Linked DNA regions of Mytilus edulis. The protein of the gene in region 1 binds, or shares a complex with, the protein of each later gene. Links are inferred from orthologs where the notes say so. Each region holds a gene or a part of one and is shown in the gene's direction. Other genes may lie near its edges. The genes, in order: RNA-binding protein spenito-like and N(6)-adenosine-methyltransferase non-catalytic subunit METTL14-like.

Region 1 (10,034 bases):
ATAAAGTTACAAAAAGAAGCATTCAATACTTATAATTACATTTTTTTAGCTAGAATCATGAAAACACGATTTTTATCAAGTTTTCATTTAATTTACCTGTGCACTTTATTGTGGAACCTCGTGTCATCATGAATGATAAATGTTATTGTCTAATACAATTGTTTCAGGAATAGGACGAGATGTGCAGTTGGCCAATCAGAATAACGTATTATAATGAAACATACATCTAATGTAATTATTGTCTATAAATTTGTTTGCTGGGCATTACCAATTATGGATTCGGTAATTTCCGCTAAAAAACGAAGTTTACTGAATGATCTCATCATACATCAATCTCATCATACATCAAACATCATCATCACCATCACCGATCATCACCATCATGATCAACAAAAAACGTATAATGTTGTGACCACTTCATATAATGTTGTGACCACTGCATATAATGTTTGGACCACTGCGTATAATGTTGTGAGCACTTAATATAATGTTGTGAGCACTGCATATAATGGTGTGAGTACTGCATATAATGTTGTGAGCACTGCATATAATGCCGATCATTAACATAAGGCAGTCATGGCGTTCCATACGTTAATGTTATTACTACCACTGGGTCGATGCCTCTGCTGGTGAACTGTTAGTCCCCGGGGGTATCACCAGCCCAGTAGTCAGTACTTCGGTACTGGCATGAAAATACGGATTGTTTGTGTTATTAAAATTTACTGTTACAAAATGTTAGAAATTATTATAAATTAAGGAATGTATCTCCCTCATGCAAAGCTCTGATTCCTTTCACGGATTTGGCTATACTTTTTGGACCTTTTGGATTATAGCTCTTCATCTTTTATATAAGCTTTGGATTTCAAATATTCTGGCCACGAGCATCACTGAAGAGACATGTATTGTCGAAATGCGCATCTGGTGCAGACAAATTGGTACCGTTAATGTTATTATTGCACCGAGGTTGTGACTGCATGGTTGCTATAAAAAATAACGCATAGCTGAGAGGATGATGATGGAGTAGATTGTTACTCCAAGAAAACATTTTCAATATTTTTTAGAAATGGTGGGTTAGTAAAGGAAGAAAATAAATGGTTTTATGATGATGTACACATAGATATATAGTTAACAAATTTACTTATCTAGCTTTGTTCTTAATTTTAATGGAACATTTTCTGTTGCACAAAAAAAAAGTTGCTGAATACTTCAGGCAGAGAAGCTATGTTTTGTTTATTTAGTAATATTAGACAATATTTATTTACATGTAATGATTTAAAACTAACCAATCTTTTGCTACATTAATTTGCGTATTTCGTCTTCTTTACCCTACAAGAAACTTTCCTAGGAGCCGTGGATTGCGGTATATCGTCCGAATATTTTCAAAACGTTCACGTAAATTGATGGCGTCGTGTGTTAAAACAGTTTTTGGCCAATCATCAAATCGGTAAACATCATTTAATATGCACGGTCGGATGACCCTTTAAACCGAATTCCTACGTCGTCCGGGTTAATAAGGGTCACCGAGCCGCGCAGATTGAAAGATATATACCGACTTGCTTGGTCAATAACTTTAACATAGTCACTAGGAAATTGTGTAAATTTAAATATTGGATTAAGGTATTGAATTACGACAATTGTATATTACTTGGTTGTTACAATTATTTATATGATATCTGTTTGAAGAATCCAAATGACTGATAAGAACTGGGTTTGTAATCTACGAGGAGAATTGTTCCACCTTAGTTTAAAATGATTTGTGGTTTTCGTCAAACTGATTATTCTGTATGCAAACATCATATTATAGTTATAAACAGAGACTGTGTGACATTGTCAAACAAGAGTTTGATGCTACTTTAGATAGTTCATCAAAATGTTTTTTGTATACATGTAGATATATGATATCAAATTTTTCTTTGCACACATATGTATGTAAACCAATACCCAAAATTTACAAAAGTGTATTGCTAAATTTGTTTGTTTGCTTTTTGGCCTTGAATGTTTGTCCCTAATATTTTATTAACTGTGCATTTGCATGCAGATATCGCAGATCAAATATATTAGATTGTCATCATCTAATATAGCTTTTTCAAAAGTGATTTTTTTCAAAGGGTTAGATATTTCGCAGTGGTGTCTTGCCATGGCTTTGTTTGGACTTGTTTGTTTGCTTTTTGGCCTTGAATGTTTGTCCCTAATATTTTATTAACTGTGCATTTGCATGCAGATATCGCAGATCAAAATTATTAGTTCATAGTTTGTTAATTTACGTTTTTTGATTGAGTTAAGCCTGTCAATTGATAATTTATCGTGTGTTTTTCTATGTTGTGATGTTATGCTATTATTTTAGAAAAAGGGAGAAGGTTTGATACCATTAAAACCTTTAATCCCGCTGCAAATGTTTGCAGTCAGGAATCTTATGTACAGTAGTTATCGTTTGTTTATGTAATTTATACGTGTTTCTCGTTTCTCCTTTTTATATAGATTAGACCGTTGGTTTTCCCGATTGAATGGTTTTACACTAGTAATTTTGGGGCCCTTTATAGCTTGTTGTTCGGTGTGAGCCAAGGCTCCGTGTTGAAGGCCGTACATTGACCTATAATGGTTTACTTTTATAAATTGTTATTTGGATGGAGAGTTGTCTCATTGGCACTCACACCACATCTTCTTATATTTATATAGGAAAGGTAAGGTATTCTAATGTAAATATAAACCTTAGAATCTGTACATTGTGTCTAGATGATATAGAGAGGATGAAATGCATTTTATCTAATCATGTCCTTCATATTCAGCATTGCGTGAAAATTTGATAAAACCATATTATTGGCGTTAGCCATCTATTCATAAATCTTTACAAATTGTTATGATATTGTAATTATTATATTTATTTATGTTGGCCTAATTTGTGTTGTGTGGCCTGATAGTTGTTTACAAAAAAGTCTTATAACTGTACAGTTTAGAAATCACTGGAACAATCACAGAATGATTGGAACTTTCCATTTGACTTACATAATGATTCCAGAAGGATCCTAATAAAAGATGCGTAATTTAAACTTCTACATTTTACTAGAAACATCCGTTGTAACTTTCTAGGACGTTCCATTTCTAGAAATTTCCGTGATAACTATACATATTTCTTCTTTCCATCTAGTGTAACATTGTTATTTTTTATAACATTTTACCCTTTGAGTATTAAAATATGAAATGTTCTTATTAGGAAACGGATTAATATAAGCTAAGAGCTTGTTTCTGGATCCTATTAATTATTTCACTTGTATTATTATGTAAATGCCTATGTATGTACCTGAATATAATTAATAAAATATGTTTACACTAACTATACATATACGGACACTAAAGTCTCAGACTTAGACATCGATAGAAATTAGTATTCACAGCATTTTGATTCACACTTTTATTCTACAAACAACCTCAGACTGGATTGTGACCTTAGTAGTGAACGTAATATTCAGATTAGATTCTGAGAAGATTTCCGGATACAGATAAAGAAAAAAGACTGGACTCATATTTTGACAGTTTAAAGTTGACAGTAATATTGGTGTTATACTTCTTGTAAACTTTTGTATAATAAATCTTGTTAAATTTTATAATTGACTGTGTCTTTTGTTGGCCACAATTTAAAGGTGCTTTCTGACTGATTGAAAAGACTTATGCAAGTTAGGAAAATATATATTTAGAGCACTGTTCAAAGCTCTAAAATGACTGTTTTTAAGTTGATATGTAATCAATTGTTACATGTATTTGTTATTTGTTATTATATTTACATTTCTGTCTGTTTTGTCATGATCGTACAATTTTGTAATCTAAATTAAGTATATGTTGAAAAACATTTGGTTAATAAAGAATTGAAAAAATAATGAAATAATAAGTCGTTGTGAGTCGGCGGACACGGATCTGTATTTTAATTAAATAGGATAATCGTACTCCATATGTTTATGATATTCAAGTAACCCGAGTTAACAGTACGTCAGTCGTTGGATTCTGTGCATTTGTGGTGTGGCGTCTACTTAAAGGCAAACTTTACATTTATTTGCATTTTTACTTTTCGTGTGTTTCCTAAATATAGTTTGTTTAGCCACAGCTTTTTTGAACTGGGATCCACTGGCGGATCCAGAAATTTTCATAAGTGGGGCCCAGTGACTGCCTAAGAGGGGGCCCACTCCAGTCACGCTTCAGTGATTCTCTTTATAAGCAACCTTTTTTTCAAAAAAAGGGGGGCGGGCCCCTGCCCCCCCCCCCGGCCCTAAATCCACCTCTGGGATCCGATAAACTCAAACAAAAACAGAAAGCGTTGCTTCTGTTTCACCTAGAACCTTTCCTTCGCATGTCAATGATGTCGGGTATTTACAGACATTAAACAAGAAAAAACACAACCAAACATTTTGGCATTCTACTACAAAAGAAAGTTACAAATGGCAAATTTTAGGCACCATGATTGGTAAATATCAATTTTAGATTGTGCTAGTGCTAAATGCGTGCATGGCGGCTTTGATTCCTTTTTCCGGGTTGCTTTTACTTTTCTTATCACTGTTTTTAAATGATATGAATGGTTTTACACTAGTCATTTTGGGGCCTGTATGGCTTACTGTTCGGTAGTGATCCAAGGCTCCCTTGTGGAAGACCGTACTTTGACCTATAATGGTTTTTCTTTTACGAATTGTGACTTGGATTGAGAGCTGTCTCATTAGCACTCATATCACATCTTATATCTATTTTGTAGTTCTTTTCTTTTTGTTGAAATAAAAAAGAAAGAAGTGAGAATCAGTATTTCCGTGACGTGAACGCTAATTCTTCCCACTTATAAAAACGGTAAGTCCTGATGATTTAAGTCACGCCACCTCATAGCCAATAAAAATGATTTAGATATGTATGCTCGAACTACAAATATACTGAAAGTGTAACAAACATGATTAACACACTTCACTGGCCAACATTACAAGAAAGGAGACTCAAAAGCAGATTAAATATGTTCCATAGAATAACAAACAACAAAATTGTCATACCACATACTGACATATAAATTAAAAGCCAATCAAACACCAGGTCTAGCCACGAACAAACATACCGACAAATTCAATGCAGCAAAGACAGTTACAAATTTTCATTTTTCTGCCAAACTATAAAAGACTGGAACAAATTACCTGAACCAATAGCCTGCAGCATGTTTAATATGTATCTTGTTTTTTTTGTTTTTTTTTTATCTCATACCAGAAGAAGAAGAAGAAGAAGAAGAAGAAGAAGAAGAAGAAGAAGAAGAAGAAGAAGAAGAAGAAGAAGAAGAAGAAGAAGAAGAAGAAGAAGAAGAAGAAGAAGAAGAAGAAGAAGAAGAAGAAGAAGAAGAAGAAGAAGAAGAAGAAGAAGAAGAAGAAGAAGAAGAAGAAGAAGAAGAAGAAGAAGAAGAAGAAGAAGAAGAAGAAGAAGAAGAAGAAGAAGAAGAAGAAGAAGAAGAAATAACGTATTATAACCCTTTTTATAAGTGAGCGATTTTTTTTTAAATGGGGCGAGTTGGTGATTTGTTGTGGGGCGATTTGTCCTGCTTCAAAGCGCAGATATTTTTGTTTATATTTCTATTCTTATCGAAAAATATGGAGGGAAAAAAGAATGTTTAAAAATGAGTGCTAGACGGGTACGAATACGGACAATAATCATGCTTTTCTACAAACCACCATCCACGCCCCCGGAAGTACTAATTACAACCATATTATCACATTTTGAAGCGCAAAATAGATCACAAAATAGATACACACATACTAAAAACATTAATGTTTCAAAAGTGTCAGCGATATAAAATATAAGTATTCGTACCTGTCTCTGGTAAATGCATGAGCAAAACCAATAATATTATGACAGGTTATTATATTTTGACTTACGCGCAGTAATCTGTTGAAAGAAATATGTCTACACGAATCGCGTCCTGAAATAAGATTTTGTCGAAGAAAGCAAATAATACTGCAAAATGAAGCGTTCACCTATGAGAGACCATTCCCCTATAAGTAAAAGGTCCAGGTCATCATATCGCATGTCAGATCATGATATGGGCAGAGGCATGTCACCAGATATGTACGACCGAAGAGACCCTCGCAGAGACATGGTTATGAAAAAATCTTACCGTAACATTGATCATGAAATGGACCGTCCTCGTGCTAAATACAGAGATGACCGAATGGATTATTCCCCACCTTCTAGGCCTGATACTAGACACCAACCAGACTTTAGATCTATTTGTATAAGTAATATCTCTGGGAAAATCCCTGTTCCCGTCTTGAAAGAGACCCTCTATCACGAGTTCAAAAAATTTGGAGAATTCAATGTTAATGTTACATATAGTGGTGATATTAGAGTAGCTTATATAAACTTCAGGTACCCAGAAGATGCACGTGAATCTAAACATTTGAAATCCAAACTTGTTCTCTTTGATCGTCCTGTAAGAATAGAAGCTGTGTATCAAAAGAAACGAAGCCATAGCCCCGGAAACGATAATTTTCATTATGAGCGCCATGACAATTATGGTAGCAGTAATTATAGAGGAAGGGGATCTTTTAGAGGATATCCTAGCAGTAGAAGACCATCTGGTCGTGGATTTTACCAAGGACCTCCTCGCAACATGCCTCCAAGGGAAACCCCAGATTTTAATCAAGGAGACTCATATAATGCTCCTAAACGAAATGACAAATTCCCATATCATCTAGATCATATCCAGCCAGAGGATGACGAAAATGCAACCAGGACATTATTTGTAGGCAATCTTGATTACAATATTTCTGAACAAGAATTAAAAACAGTGTTTGGGAGATATGGAACAATAGAAGATACCGATATAAAAAGACCTCAAAGAGGCACTGGAAATGCTTATGCCTTTATAAAGTTCATAAATTTAGACTGTGCTCACAAAGCCAAAGTGGAACAATCTGGCCAGTATATTGGCAGGTTTCAGTGTAAGATTGGTTATGGTAAAGTGACTGCAACAACTTGCTTATGGGTTGGTGGTCTTGGTTCATGGATTACACATGAAACACTTGAACAAGAATTTGATCGATTTGGGATGATAAATAGAATAGAATGGCCTAGAGGTAAAGACTATGCCTATGTTTTATATGATAATTTAGATGCTGCTCAAGCAGCTTGTCAAGAAATGCGTGGTGCCCCAATGGGAGGAACCGAGAATAAAAAACGTCTTCGGGTTGATTTTGCAGATCCAAATCATATCATGATACCCGAAAATCAAGACAGCACTCATCGTGATGGTAATTCCTTGTATGAAGAATCAAGACGTGAAGGTAAAGAAAGTAGAACAAGGGAAGAATGGCGTGAAAATGATAATAGAAATCCTGACATTGAACTTAAACATAGTGGTAGTTGGGAAGAAGGTAGAAAAAGACCTTTATCTCCAGACGAGTACAGGAGGAGGAAGATATCAACTTCACCTGATCAAAGGTTTAGTAAGGGCCCTGAGTCTAGAGGTAGATCAAGAGAGAAAAAAGCACTTTTTTCACAAGAAAGAGAACTTGGTGAAATTGATCCTCATGACGATTCAAGGAAAGAAAGGAAGAACTCAGTTGACAGTTCAGACATGGGTATTGAAAATGTAACTTCAATACCAGATCTTGCAAAGTGTTTACCTGTTGCATGGAATGGTGCAGTCATTTTGAAAAATAGTGCTTTTCCTGCTAGAATGCATGTTGTAAGTGGAAATGTAACCATTGTTGATACCCTAATGAGAGATCCTAATTCAACAGAAACACCAGTGTTAAAGGTCAAACAGAGATTAAGGCTTGACCAGCCTAAATTAGAAGACGTTGGAAAACGTGTATCCAGTGCTGGAAAATTAGGACATTGTATTTTGCTAGCTATGACAAGCACACTTCAAAACTATGAAGACCCGAGTGTTCAACAAAGACCATTAAAAAATTTAGTTAGTTACTTAAAACAGAAAGAGGCAGCAGGTGTTATCTCCCTTCCTTCATATGAGTCAAAGGACAAAGATGATGTTGGTGTTCTATACGCATTTCCTCCATGTGAATTTGGCTACAAATTTTTGACCAGTAAAGCGACCCATCTTCCAAGTGAATTAGTACCAGATGATTATATGGTCATAGTAGTTGTTACTGGCGCAGGTTAATTTAAATATATTTTTTTACATCATTTCTAAATTAAGAATTTACATTTATAGATGTTTATATAAAAAAGTTAAATGGATCTTAATTCTAATTTTGACATAACTTTTAATCTTCAGTTAATCTGTTTCTTACTTTATAATTTATCAGTATTCTCTTCTGATTGTCGTTATGTCAAATATAGAATATTTGTATGATATTTATTTTTGAAACTTTAGAAAAAATATTGTGAATATTTTAAAAGTGATCAGACTGGGATGAATGACAATTTTACAATTCAGGAAAGTTAAATACATTTTTCAGGTGCGGATCCAGAGGGGGGGTTCTGGGGGTTGGAACCCCCCTTTTTTTTGACCGATCAATGCATTTGAATGGGAGCATATAGCTGGAACCCCCCCTTTACTCTGGGTTGGGAACCCCCCCTTTTTAAAATGGCTGGATCCGCCCCTGATTTTTGTACTACCAGTCATGCCAGTGCTTTTTATTTTTCCTTCATTGTATAATTTGTTATCATTGTTCATTTATAATTGAAATGGAATTAAGTAAGGTCAAATATTCTTTTACATTTGTTTGGTTTTTAAACAACACTTTAAATGATGTTTATTGTAAAGACAAACATTTGTTGATAAATCCACATAATAAACAATGTGTAACTTTTTCAATATCATTGAACAAATGTTGAATAAGTTATAAAAATACAGTTTTCAACAAAAAGCATGATAGACAGTTGTATGTGGTTTAGTTCTTAACATAATGAGTTTCAGCATTTCAAGGCACAGAATATCATGAATCTCGGATTAGAATATTTAAAAAGCTCCATTTGAAATAGTATTTCTTGCAATAAATTTTATACATTTATATGTATTTGTATTTTCAAACATTTTTTTTATTTTTACATGTCTGAATTTGCACAACAGTCTGAAAACATGAAAAAGAAATGATCAAATATGTGTATGTTTTATGTTGCAGTAGCATAGAAACAACAAATTTAGCTTTTTTTTGCATACATTTTAATTTAATAAGCAGGGTTACATTAGGGCTGAAAATTGTGCAAAACATATTTTGTACTTAAAGCTTATAATTAAGGGTTTAAAATGTCAGTGTTCGCCGTTGGCTTTATAAATGCTTATATTTTCCTATTTTTTTGTTATATTATTTTTGTTGAAGAACTTTATTATGTACATTGTATGATTTAAGGCCCCTGTTAAGTAAAAATATGTTGCATACTTTGTCATATCCTGGTATTCAATTATTTTTAGTGATGCATGGTGCAGTTGTTATACATTGTAAATTATTTTGTGCTAACAAAGGTGGTATTCCACTCGTAAGCCATTTGTAAGTTGAGACAATTTATATTTTTAAATAAGTTTTTTACACTTTAAATACAGTTTATCAAATATGCTGCTCATATTGGTAATCCAAACTTATTTAAAGGATGTAGTCAGGTGAAATTTAAAAATAAATCCAGAATTTAGAATTGATACCAAGTCAGAAGAACATTAGTTAAGGAACAAAATAGCTAAATATATCTTTGGTTGTGTTGTTGTCTCTTTGACACATTCCCCATTTCTATTCTCAATTTTATTCAAGACAAAAAGTTTATCAAGATATTTGATTATTCCTTACATTTAGCATTTGCATTTGGGTCTTAAATTGCGAAAAAAGTAATCTAGAATCTGCTTAAATTTTGGTAATGACCTTTTGAGCTATTGAATATAAAAAAGAAGATGCGGTATGATTGCCAATGAGACACCTCTCCACAAGAGACCAAATGACACAGAAATTAACAACTATAGGTCATTGTACAGCCTTCAACTATGAGCAAAGCCCATACTGCATAGTCTGCTATAAAAGGCCCTGAAATGACAATGTAAACAATTCAAACGAGAAAACTTACGTCCTTAT
Region 2 (10,461 bases), on another chromosome or scaffold:
GGGTAAGGACAACTACCCATGGGCTACACTCATTTAGATACGCAAGAGCCAAACTCTGGAACGAACTGCCAAATAAGATGAGGGAAGAAATGCCATTGGGTCAGTTTAAAAGCTTGGTTGGTAATTGGGAGGGCAGTTCGTGTCAGTGTTCCTCCTGCAGATCTCAGTGAGCTGTAGATCAGTTTATTTATTTGTCTTGTATACTCTGGCTTTTAAATTATTAGGCATAATTTTTTATTTGTGTTCTAAATGCTTGAATTACTTTTAGTGCTTTATAATAGCTATTGCATGAATGATAGTTTATCTGCATTTTATGTTTGCTTATATGCTTTAATTGTGCTTATTAATTGCTTTGCTTGATAACATTATTTATTTTGCATGATGTGCTTTATGTTTTATGTGTTTTATGTATTGTGCTCGTCTTATATGTATGTCGGATAAAAGCTCTACAGAGCTTATGTTGTATTGTTATATGTATAACCGACTTTAAATAAATCTTTTATGCTTTATGCTTTATGCTTTATGATTCAAGCGTTATCCATCTCTAGCTAAGGGGTTGAATTGAAAAGTGAATACGGATTGGATGAGGTCGAATTTTTCACTTGCAAGTGAATAATTCATCAATTCATCATGTTTCTTAGCTTATTTTAAAAAAAAAAAGAACAATACTGGCTGCTAAAAGCGAATAAATATTTCACTCTTTCGCTTTCATTAATGATAGAACAAAAAAACTTATATAAATAAATAAGATCAACCCACATAAAGCCACCGGCCCAGATAACACCAGTGGTCGCTTACTGAAAGAAATGCAGACAGAAATTGCACCAATTCGATGCTTAATTTTTAACAAATCTTACAATACTGGTATTACACCTAACGACTGGAAACACGCTAGAGTCGCACGTGCATATAAAAAGGGGGATAACCATAAACCGGTCAAATATAGACCTATCTCATTAACTTGTATATTCTGCAAGTTAAGGGAACACATAGTAACATCACATATTATGAAACATCTCGAATCAAATAACATCTTGTATGACCTCCAACATGGCTTTCGGCACTCTTGATATTGCGAGACATAACTTTTCTCCTTCATCTAAAAACTTCAATCCACAAACAATTCAAATACACAAAGAAACCTTGTAATAATGGACTTTGCGAAGGCCTTTAATAAAGTTCCGCATCGTCACTTAGTTACTTTACAAATTACACTACTAAATATTTTGGCATTAATGGAAACACTTTAAACTGGATCTCTGCATTTCTCTCCGATCGAACCCAAACAGTTGTTCTGGATGGAAGATCATCAAGCACAGTCCCAGTCACCTCTGGGGTTCCACAAGGTACTGTCTTAGGTCCAGTATTATTCTTGGCTTATATTAATGACCTTCCAGACTACCTTACAAACTAAGATTACTTGCTGATGACAGCATCATATATATGCCAGTTAAATCCTAGAGTGACTGTTTAAAACTGCAAGCTGACCTTGATGCAGCTGCAAAATGGGAGGAGGACTGGATGATGGCCTCCCACCAAGACAAGTGTAATGTTCTCTCTGTCACAACTAAACGTCAACCTTTACAACATAATTACACTCTTCACAATCATATTTTAGAATCTGTTACATCTGCTAAGTACTTACATTACAATCAAACCTTAAATAGGACAAACACATAGATGACAATATCTCGAAAGCCATCAAAACACTCTGAACAACACTCAATTCAGTAGCTTCCTGTAAAATGTTTATGATATCAATTGCTTGTTGTTCTACATCAGTTTCCTTTTTGCATTTCAGTCTTCTTCCTCACTTGAATTACCTTTGGTTGGTAATTTTCTATGTTTTTTTCTTCCCATTTCAGAATAGTTTTCTTTTTGCTTGTTGTGCTGATCATCTAAGTTTTCCCCTTAACGATCAGGTTGTGTTTTGCCTTTACTGGTACATGTGCTGAACTGTTAAGTAGATGTTGGTCCATAATCGCTGAATCCAAAAGATTACTGCCTCTGAAGTTGTACTCTATCTGCGAGGTGGAATTTTTATTATGGTGATAAAAAGTAGGTTTGTGAGTATTTTTAACTATGCTTTTAATAGCTGATGTTGACTGCAGAAGTTCTTAAGCAAATTGTCATGGTTATTATTTCTACTTTGCATGAGTGTTCCATTCAAATCCCCCACTATGAAGACATTGTGTGTTTGCTCATATTTATCAATAATTGACGAAATTTTATCCAGTTGTTCTCTGTACTCTTTGTCTGATCCTGTTGCCATTGTTGGCATATATCTATTAATTAGGATTACTTTAACTGGTTCAGACTAAATTTCGATGACTATTCTTCTTTTTCTAGCTTCCTGATCTTATGTGAGATTGTTGGAGGCCATATAGTTATTACTCCCCCATTCCCCCTTCTTCTTTGTAGTTCCAAATCAACTAGATTATCATCAAAGCTTGAGATATGATAGTCGCAGTCTGGCAGAATTTCTTTTAGTGCGACTAATTCATATCCGTGTAACCAATGCAAGCATAGAATTGTGTTTGTTTTTAAAAGTTCTTTCAGATATACATTGCTGCCTTTCATTCTCTCAATGTTCATTGAGACAATGTCTAGCATTGTCTCAGTAGTATTTCGGTCTCCTGTCCAAGTTTTTGGATGTCTGGTGGTTCCTTTGGTTGGTCTATTTTCCCTAAAAATACTGTTTTGGCTTTTCTTCTTCTGTTGAATGTTGAGGAAGGTTCATTGAAGGATGGTCAACATGTTGATTATTAGGAACTGTTATTTCAGTGTCAGGAGTTGCAGTAATTGTTGGTGTTTCTTTTAGGTTTTGTTCTTCATTTAGCAGAGACTCTGGATTTGTAAGTTTATCAAATGCTTGGGTCAGTTTAATTTCTGTTTCGGCATGACTTAGCGGACTTGAGCTACCTTCTGATTTGGACTTTTCTTTTCTTTGCCCATTATCACTGTGTCTTTCTACTGATATTTTGTTATGGTTATAGAGATTACTATTCTGTTGATAAGGTGGTGGTGGCACTCTCGGCAGTCCTTGTCTTAGTAGATCATCGTGATGCACTGAGTTGTAGTGTAATTAATCAATTTGACTGACTTGGTCTTGCCTTGAATAAAACTGGAGTTGACCGTTTAAATAAGATTGACCTTGTCCATTAGTATAGGGATCATTTTGATGTCGACTTTTTCCAGAGTTGTACCCTTTTGTTATCATTTTGCTGATGTTGTTCAGAGTTATACCCTCTTGGATCATTTTGAAGATGTTGATTTTGTCCAGAGTAATACCCTCTTTGGTCTTTTTGTTGTTGCCGATGTGGTCCAGAGTTAAATCTTCTCAGATGATTTTGGTGAATTTGACTTTGCTCTGAGTTATATTGATACCCTCTTGGATCATTTTGTTGATGTTGACCTTGCCAAGAGTTCAAACATCCTGGGTCATTTTGATGTTGTTTTTGATTTTGTCCAGAGTTAAACCCTCTTGGATCAGCTTGATGTTGGCTTTGTTCAGAGTTATACCTTTTTGGATCCATTTGATGTTGATTTTGTCCAGAGTTATACCTTCTTTGGTCATTTTGATGTAGAATTTGTCCAGAGATATACCCTCTTGGATCAGTTTGATGTTGGATTTGTCCAGAGTTATACCCTCTTGGATCCATTTGATGTTGATTTTGTCCAGAGTTATATCTTTATAGCTGCTTTAGCCTCATATCCATCATTTGCCCATGCATTTCTTGTTTTATCTGTTTTTGAAGCTCATCTCTCATTTGATCTATATTGCTTCTATTCAGATTTTCTTGTTCTATATTTGGTTGCCTTTTCATGCTATTGATGTTATCTGCTGGCTGTCCATTACTTTGAATGATCTCCGTGTTTTTCTTTAGTAAATCTATTGTTTTGTCTTGATTCTTAATGCGCTATTCTAATGAGCTTATATAAGCTATCTGTTCTAATTCAAGTTTCCGGTTTTGCTGGTTTTTCTTGTTGCTTCTTTTAACCGTTTGTTTCTGGTTCTGTTTATCTATATTTCTATTGTTTCCATATGCACTTAAAATAGCACCTTCCAATGGCTGAGTTTAAAACTGAGGTTTGCTCCTCCACAGGGTGCAGAGATTGTCTATTCATTGTGTCTGATTCTCCCACAGGATTTAAACATATTGATGGGAGCAGTTTTTACCACAGAACACCACAGAATACCAAAGAAACACCATAGAATACCTCATATTTTCCTGGCATTACAAAAATTCTGAAAAACATGAACCCTCACAAAGCCACCGGTCCAGACAACATTAATGGTTGAGTTCTAAAAGAACTACACAAACAAATAGCACCAATACTGCAGCTCATATTCAAAAAGTCATTTCACGCTAGGCAAACTCCAACATACTGGATGCATGCTAACGTCGCTCCAGCTTTTAAAAAAGGAGATAAACACAAAGCAGTAAACTACCGACCTATTTCATTAACTTGCATCTGTTGCAAGTTAGGAACACATAGTCACAAAACATCTTATGAATCACCTCGAAAATAACAACATCCTCTATGATCTCCAACACGGCTTCCGAAATTCACGCTCATACGAAACTCAACTTCTTTCCTTCATACAAGAATTATCAGAAACAGACAATAAAAATTTCAAACAGATTTAGTTATTATGGATTTTGCTAAGGCATTTGATAAAGTTCATCACCGAAGACTTCTCTGTAAATTACAGTACTACGACATCTCTGGACAAACACTAAACTTGATAAAAGCATTTCTTTCCAACCGTACACAAACTGTTGTCATAGATGGAAAGTCATCCTCCCTGTCACTTCTGGTGTTTCACAAGGTACTGTATTGGGCCCTGTCTTGTTTCTGGTCTACATTAATGACCTGCCAGACTACTTGACCCACAGCATGCTCAGGCTATTCGCAGATGATACCATAATATACAGACCGATCAAATCCCAGAGTGACTGTGATAATCTCCAAGTAGATCTAGATGCGGCAGCTAGTTGGGAGAGGGACTGGCTGATGGCTTCAGTCCATCCAGATAAATGTACTGTGCTATCTGTCACCAAAAAGAAACGACCTATACAGCACAACTACATTGTAAATGGTCATACACTGGAATCAGTCACATCAGCTAAGTACCTTGGTGTCACAATACAGTCAAACCTAAAGTGGGATAAACATATAAATGACATTACATCCAGAGGCAACAAATCACTGGGTTTCCTACATATTCATACATCAAAAGAGTCCTACAGACATTCATACTTTCCATATTCAATATCACAGTGTAACCAGCTCCCTGTGGTACCAGGCACCATCCATTGATAGCTTCAAAGAACAGCTCACTTCAGCTGTTCTCTGTCTATTAATAAAAAGCATCAATTTAAATTGTATATAGTCATGATAGTTTTAATCACAAATTTGACATTTTATTGCACTTTAATTATATTTCGTTTAAATTGGGGTAAAAAATTGGTAAATAGTCCACGTATGCGAACTGTATGTAATCATCGAAGTCGATGGAATATTGTATACCTAAAGAAGAAGAAGATAAGTGGTGTCCTTTTATCGAACGTTGCTACGCACGATTTAAGAAATAAAATATTGGTATTTAGATATAAACGTAAAACGTAAAAACAAATGTCTTTTTATTTTTTCACTACTTTCAATGTCTTTTTTTGTATGGAAAAGTGATATTTTTCACTATCGAATGAACACGTTGACTCCTATGGAATAAGTTTGTTATAAGTAGTTGTCGTAAAAGTTCAATCGACTGGTATATTTAGGTACCAGACAAACCCAGCTAGTACGCGGAAAATATGGGTGATAGATTAAAAGAGCTGCGAGAAAGATCACAGAAAAGAAAACAGCTGCTTGCACAAGCAGTAAATGATTTTTAATCTCAATTTTTAAAATGAAAACTATGAAAGATTCAGTTGTTTACTGTTCATCCTTGTCTTTTGTTGAATGTTCTTAAACTTTCACTTTGATGAAAACAAGGATTTGTATAGCTATAAATCTTACTAAACAAATCCTTGTCATGAATAACTTCGGCTCTGTGAATTTATCATATCAATAATTTGTCTGCCATTACTGGTTTCAACAAAGGTTCCCTTAAAATTGTGACGTCTTTAAACAATAAACCTTATCGTTATTTGTTCGCCATTTAATACTGGACATCACACAGGATCCATTAAAATTTGACGTCATAATACAAAATACCTGTTGCCACCATGGAAAAGAGATTGTTGTATGACGTCAACAGGGCTCACACTACTTCAGAATTATAGGGAGAAGTGACTTCTCTTTTTGAAACTGATAGGGAGAAGTGGTGAGATTTGAAAGAGAAGTGCTCATTTGCATGGTACGCTACAATGTTTGGATTTTACAATAGTATAAAGGGCCATATGTAAATAATGTTCTTTTTATATTGTTCAATTCATACCTGAGTAAAAAAATTACAATTAAAGTAACAATTGAAATTAAAAGTTGTTTAAGTTTTACTAAGTAAGTTCTTGTGGGAAACTATCAACTAATTATCTAGCACTAAAAAAAAAAACAATTTTAAAAATGTAAAGAAATTATGATATATCAATTACAATTTAATTAAAAATTATCTTGTGTATGAAATTCAGTGTTTTTCATAAAAAAATATAAAATTTATTAAGCTGGGCCATAATATATTGATATTAGTATAATAGTCTCAGAGTTAAGCAACTTTAATCAATAGTTTAAAACAATCCATAAAAAATATAGGGAATTATATACACCAATCAATTAGATGTAACAAAAAGTCTCTTAATGCGAGTGGAATGCGTAATTTTTCCCTTTGGGATCAATATTCTTCTGTCAGCTGTTCCATCCGTGCGTCCGTAGTAATTATTGTAAAAGTACGGATTTCGGTCATAGCTTGTCCGGTTCAGATCAGTAGTTTAGAAATCGGTCAATGGCGGACGAATGAAAGAAAATTTACAAAAATAAACGATGTTTGACAAGTTATTTGGAAAGGAACATGACGTTTTTAATGCAATAAATGGATTAAACATTTACCGGAGGCAACCTTTATCACGTTTAAATGAAGTAACAAACTTATTTTGCCGCCGAAATTTAGGTTAATGTACGTTTTTGAGTAACAAGCCCCGGAACTTGCGGAGATGCACGAAGTGATAAAAAGTTGTATTTTTATCAAATAACCTGCTACACACTGCAAAGACAATGCTTCAACCTCTTTTCTAAAGATAATGAATCGTTTATGTCTGAATTTCTTTAATTATCAATAAAAAATTGATGTTTCATCAACTTGGTAAAAATTGAAAATTATGTCCGATGACGAAAGCGACTGAAAGCGAGTATCGTCAAGAACAGGGCGACTTGTTTTCGCTTTTGGGGGTTGGGGAAAACGGAGTGACGGTCGGGAAGGCGACTTCTTCGCCCAAGTCGCCTGGTAGCGTGAGCCCTGGTTGATTTTATACATTTTTTAGCCATCTGTACCTATATACAGGAATAGATATTTTCATGTGCCTTATAAAGATCTTTCTGAGTCTAGATAATCCACTATTTTTTTAACACTTATTACAATGCTACTTTCATTCTCGTCAAGCTGAAAAAAGTGGATGTTCAAAAGTCGGAACAATCATTGTTCATAGTTAAAAAATCCTGTTTAATTCAAATATAAAATTTCAAATTGTGAGTTTAGATTATTGTGATTTTAACCCTGTCACATTATCATGATTATATAAGCTACAGTCTCATTTTAAGATATGAAGAATTCCTTTTAATTGTTTAACAGACACATGAACATATATATATATTGACAGGACTTGACACTACCTAATTGTAGCAGATTTCATCTTCGCGTCATCATTTATAAAGATACAATGTGGAAATGGACATGTGTTAAAAATGTACTTGCTATTATCCTAATAATTTCAGATAATATCAATAAAATGTCATTCAAACTAAGTTTTATAGTAATGTTAGTGCATTGAACTTGTAATCTGTCACTTCATAATTGTTATAAGCACATTCATATCATCACAGAAGGGTACAGAATACAAACCATTCAATCAAAAAATGTTGCTGATGGCATTCCAAAACCATTATATAACATTTCACATCAAATAAACCACACTTATCTTGGTAAATTTACATGACAAAATATATCTACTTTATGATAAGACTTATATTTATATATGAATTATGTGTTTAACTCATACATGTGAACCTCCCGACCGGAGTACAATAATCCCGTTTTCAGGGGTTTCCTCCCGTCCTCCAGTTTAGGAGAAAAAAATCCTGTGTATGAAATATTTTATGAATGGAAATTTTTAGCCGCCTTTTTTTGGGATACGATTGCTTTTAAGCAATCTGTAGACGTATACCGTTGGCTCAGGGCCATGCCCTCACGTCAACCGTTTTATTCTAAACATTAAGGAACATCTCAGATTCTTATGATTGTCTTGCTTTAAATGGTAAAAACAAACAAAGGGATTGAACTTTAACTTTCCTTCAATGTTCTTTTCATAATCTTCATGTTTGATATTTCCCTTGACTTATATGCATGTTTTTAACAACACAGAAAATCAGAATTAAGCAGTATTTATATTTAGTGTTTTTATAAATTTAGAAACATGTCAGAGGGAATTCCCCAGTTTTGATAAAAATGCGAGAGTTCTCTGAATTCCGATAAATCTATTTATAGATCATATACATGTAAGAACTGAAGTGGAGATTTTCTTATGCATGTTTTATGTCACCGTTATGAAACTGATATTTGATATTGTACTGCCATAAAGAAATAGAGAACCATCTAGGTCGTTTAATTAACATTTAAAATACGTTCTTGCTCCAGGGTTTGTTTAGGTAATTATGTGCATGCGTATAGTTTTCTTGACTTCAAGGGGTATTAGATTGAATGGTTGCTCTGGATTCCCTACTCAATTGATTGATTTAAAACTCATGGGATCCTTTCTATGTATGTCTGCTATTTAGGGTTATTGTTGTTGCATAATTTTAAATCATATGCATATTTTAAATTTTTTTAAAATGTAGTCCACATCGTCAAGGTGTATCTACAACACCCCTTTAGGCGAAATAGAGTCTTCCATATTATATTTTCGAGTTGTCTCCCTTCCGGAAGTAACTTCCGTCAATTCTGATACGATACAACACGTCGAGAAAAATTAACTTGTTCTGTCGATAAACATCGTATTATATTAAATTATTATTATAACTTGTACACAACACATATAAGACACACGAAGCAAATTCCTGAAGTGAAATTAAATTGTACTTTTATTCAATTCAATTCAATACTTTATTGGAAAGATCACAATATGATCCAAATTCAGATAATAATATATTCAACAATTACATCTACTTAAAATGAAATAAAAATTAATTACAATGTACCAACAAGTCATATTTAGTCAATTATACTCATTAAATTATAGATATGGTCTATGGATACCATAACATTCAGAATTCTTAATGATACTTTACACATATAGTATGATTATTCTAAGTTTTCATTCGTCCTGAACATGCATGAAATATTTGCCACTGGACATTAAGCAACCAACAATCAATCAATCTAAGTTTTCATAATTTTACTTTAAAAACACTATCGCCTTTATGAAATATATCTGTAAATGCACAAGAAGCTAAAAAAAATATTTTTCGAAGAAACAATATGGTGGTTTATCAAATAAAATGCTTCTTCAATATATATTTATTGACTGAAAATGAATTACATCTCAAAATTATATACATGTTCATCAATATCTGTAAAAGCAGTATAACACGTGGTCATTAAAAATAAAGTGTTCAGGTAACAGATTTGTTCATGAACCAATATACAGATCTTGGGAGATCTTGAGAAATCGTGGCACCAATGATATCCTGTATATGGCCATAGTTTTTTCCCCCATTGTTGATTTATTAACAACTAGTCTAATTTATGCACCTGACTAAGAAAAACATGTTAAATGTATAATAACAAAATTTGATTCAACCAGTAAAAATGGTATCTCAATTTATATTTTGACTGAGCTGTTATTCTATATTAAAAGTTGTCATCCTTTTTTTCCAGTTTGGTGTTGATAGTCCTGATGGATTGAAGAAAGTTCTGAAGAGTAAAGATGAAATACTTAATGAAGAGAAACCTAGCAAAACTGGGTATGCATAACACATATTGCTTAAAATACATGTAGAGAAATAATGTTTGAGTGGCAGTTATAACTTTGTTTCAGACTTATATGAAGTAGATGGCAGAAGGGTCATTGCCAAAATCCTTGGACTAATTTGTGCAAAATGTACAAAGTATTTCTTTTTTCTCACCTATTCAGATATACTTACCCCTTCTATTATATAAGATTAAGAGTGTTTAGTTTTCACAGTAAAACATTGATTACCTTTTCAGTATGTAAAACTGTTGAGACTAGTTGTTGTTTGGTATATTTG

Evidence for each region.
Region 2: RNA-binding protein spenito-like (region 1) and N(6)-adenosine-methyltransferase non-catalytic subunit METTL14-like share a complex: the UniProt entries of both Drosophila melanogaster proteins name them as parts of the WMM complex. The link is inferred for Mytilus edulis from reciprocal best matches to the Drosophila melanogaster genes nito and Mettl14.

Annotation. Positions count from the first base shown.
Region 1 is NC_092344.1:101,820,868-101,830,901, reverse strand, and holds the start of RNA-binding protein spenito-like, read left to right. Parts: upstream 1-5,696; 5' UTR 5,697-5,971; coding exon 5,972-8,129; intron 8,130-10,034. UniProt on the Drosophila melanogaster protein: RNA-binding protein that acts as an associated component of the WMM complex, a complex that mediates N6-methyladenosine (m6A) methylation of mRNAs. M6a modification plays a role in the efficiency of mRNA splicing and is required for sex determination.
Region 2 is NC_092352.1:28,717,234-28,727,694, reverse strand, and holds the start of N(6)-adenosine-methyltransferase non-catalytic subunit METTL14-like, read left to right. Parts: upstream 1-5,745; 5' UTR 5,746-5,819; coding exon 5,820-5,885; intron 5,886-10,090; coding exon 10,091-10,176; intron 10,177-10,461. Other genes in the region: putative uncharacterized protein DDB_G0279653, read right to left, coding at 2,687-3,047, 3,247-3,662. UniProt on the Drosophila melanogaster protein: Non-catalytic component of the WMM complex, a complex that mediates N6-methyladenosine (m6A) methylation of mRNAs, a modification that plays a role in the efficiency of mRNA splicing and is required for sex determination.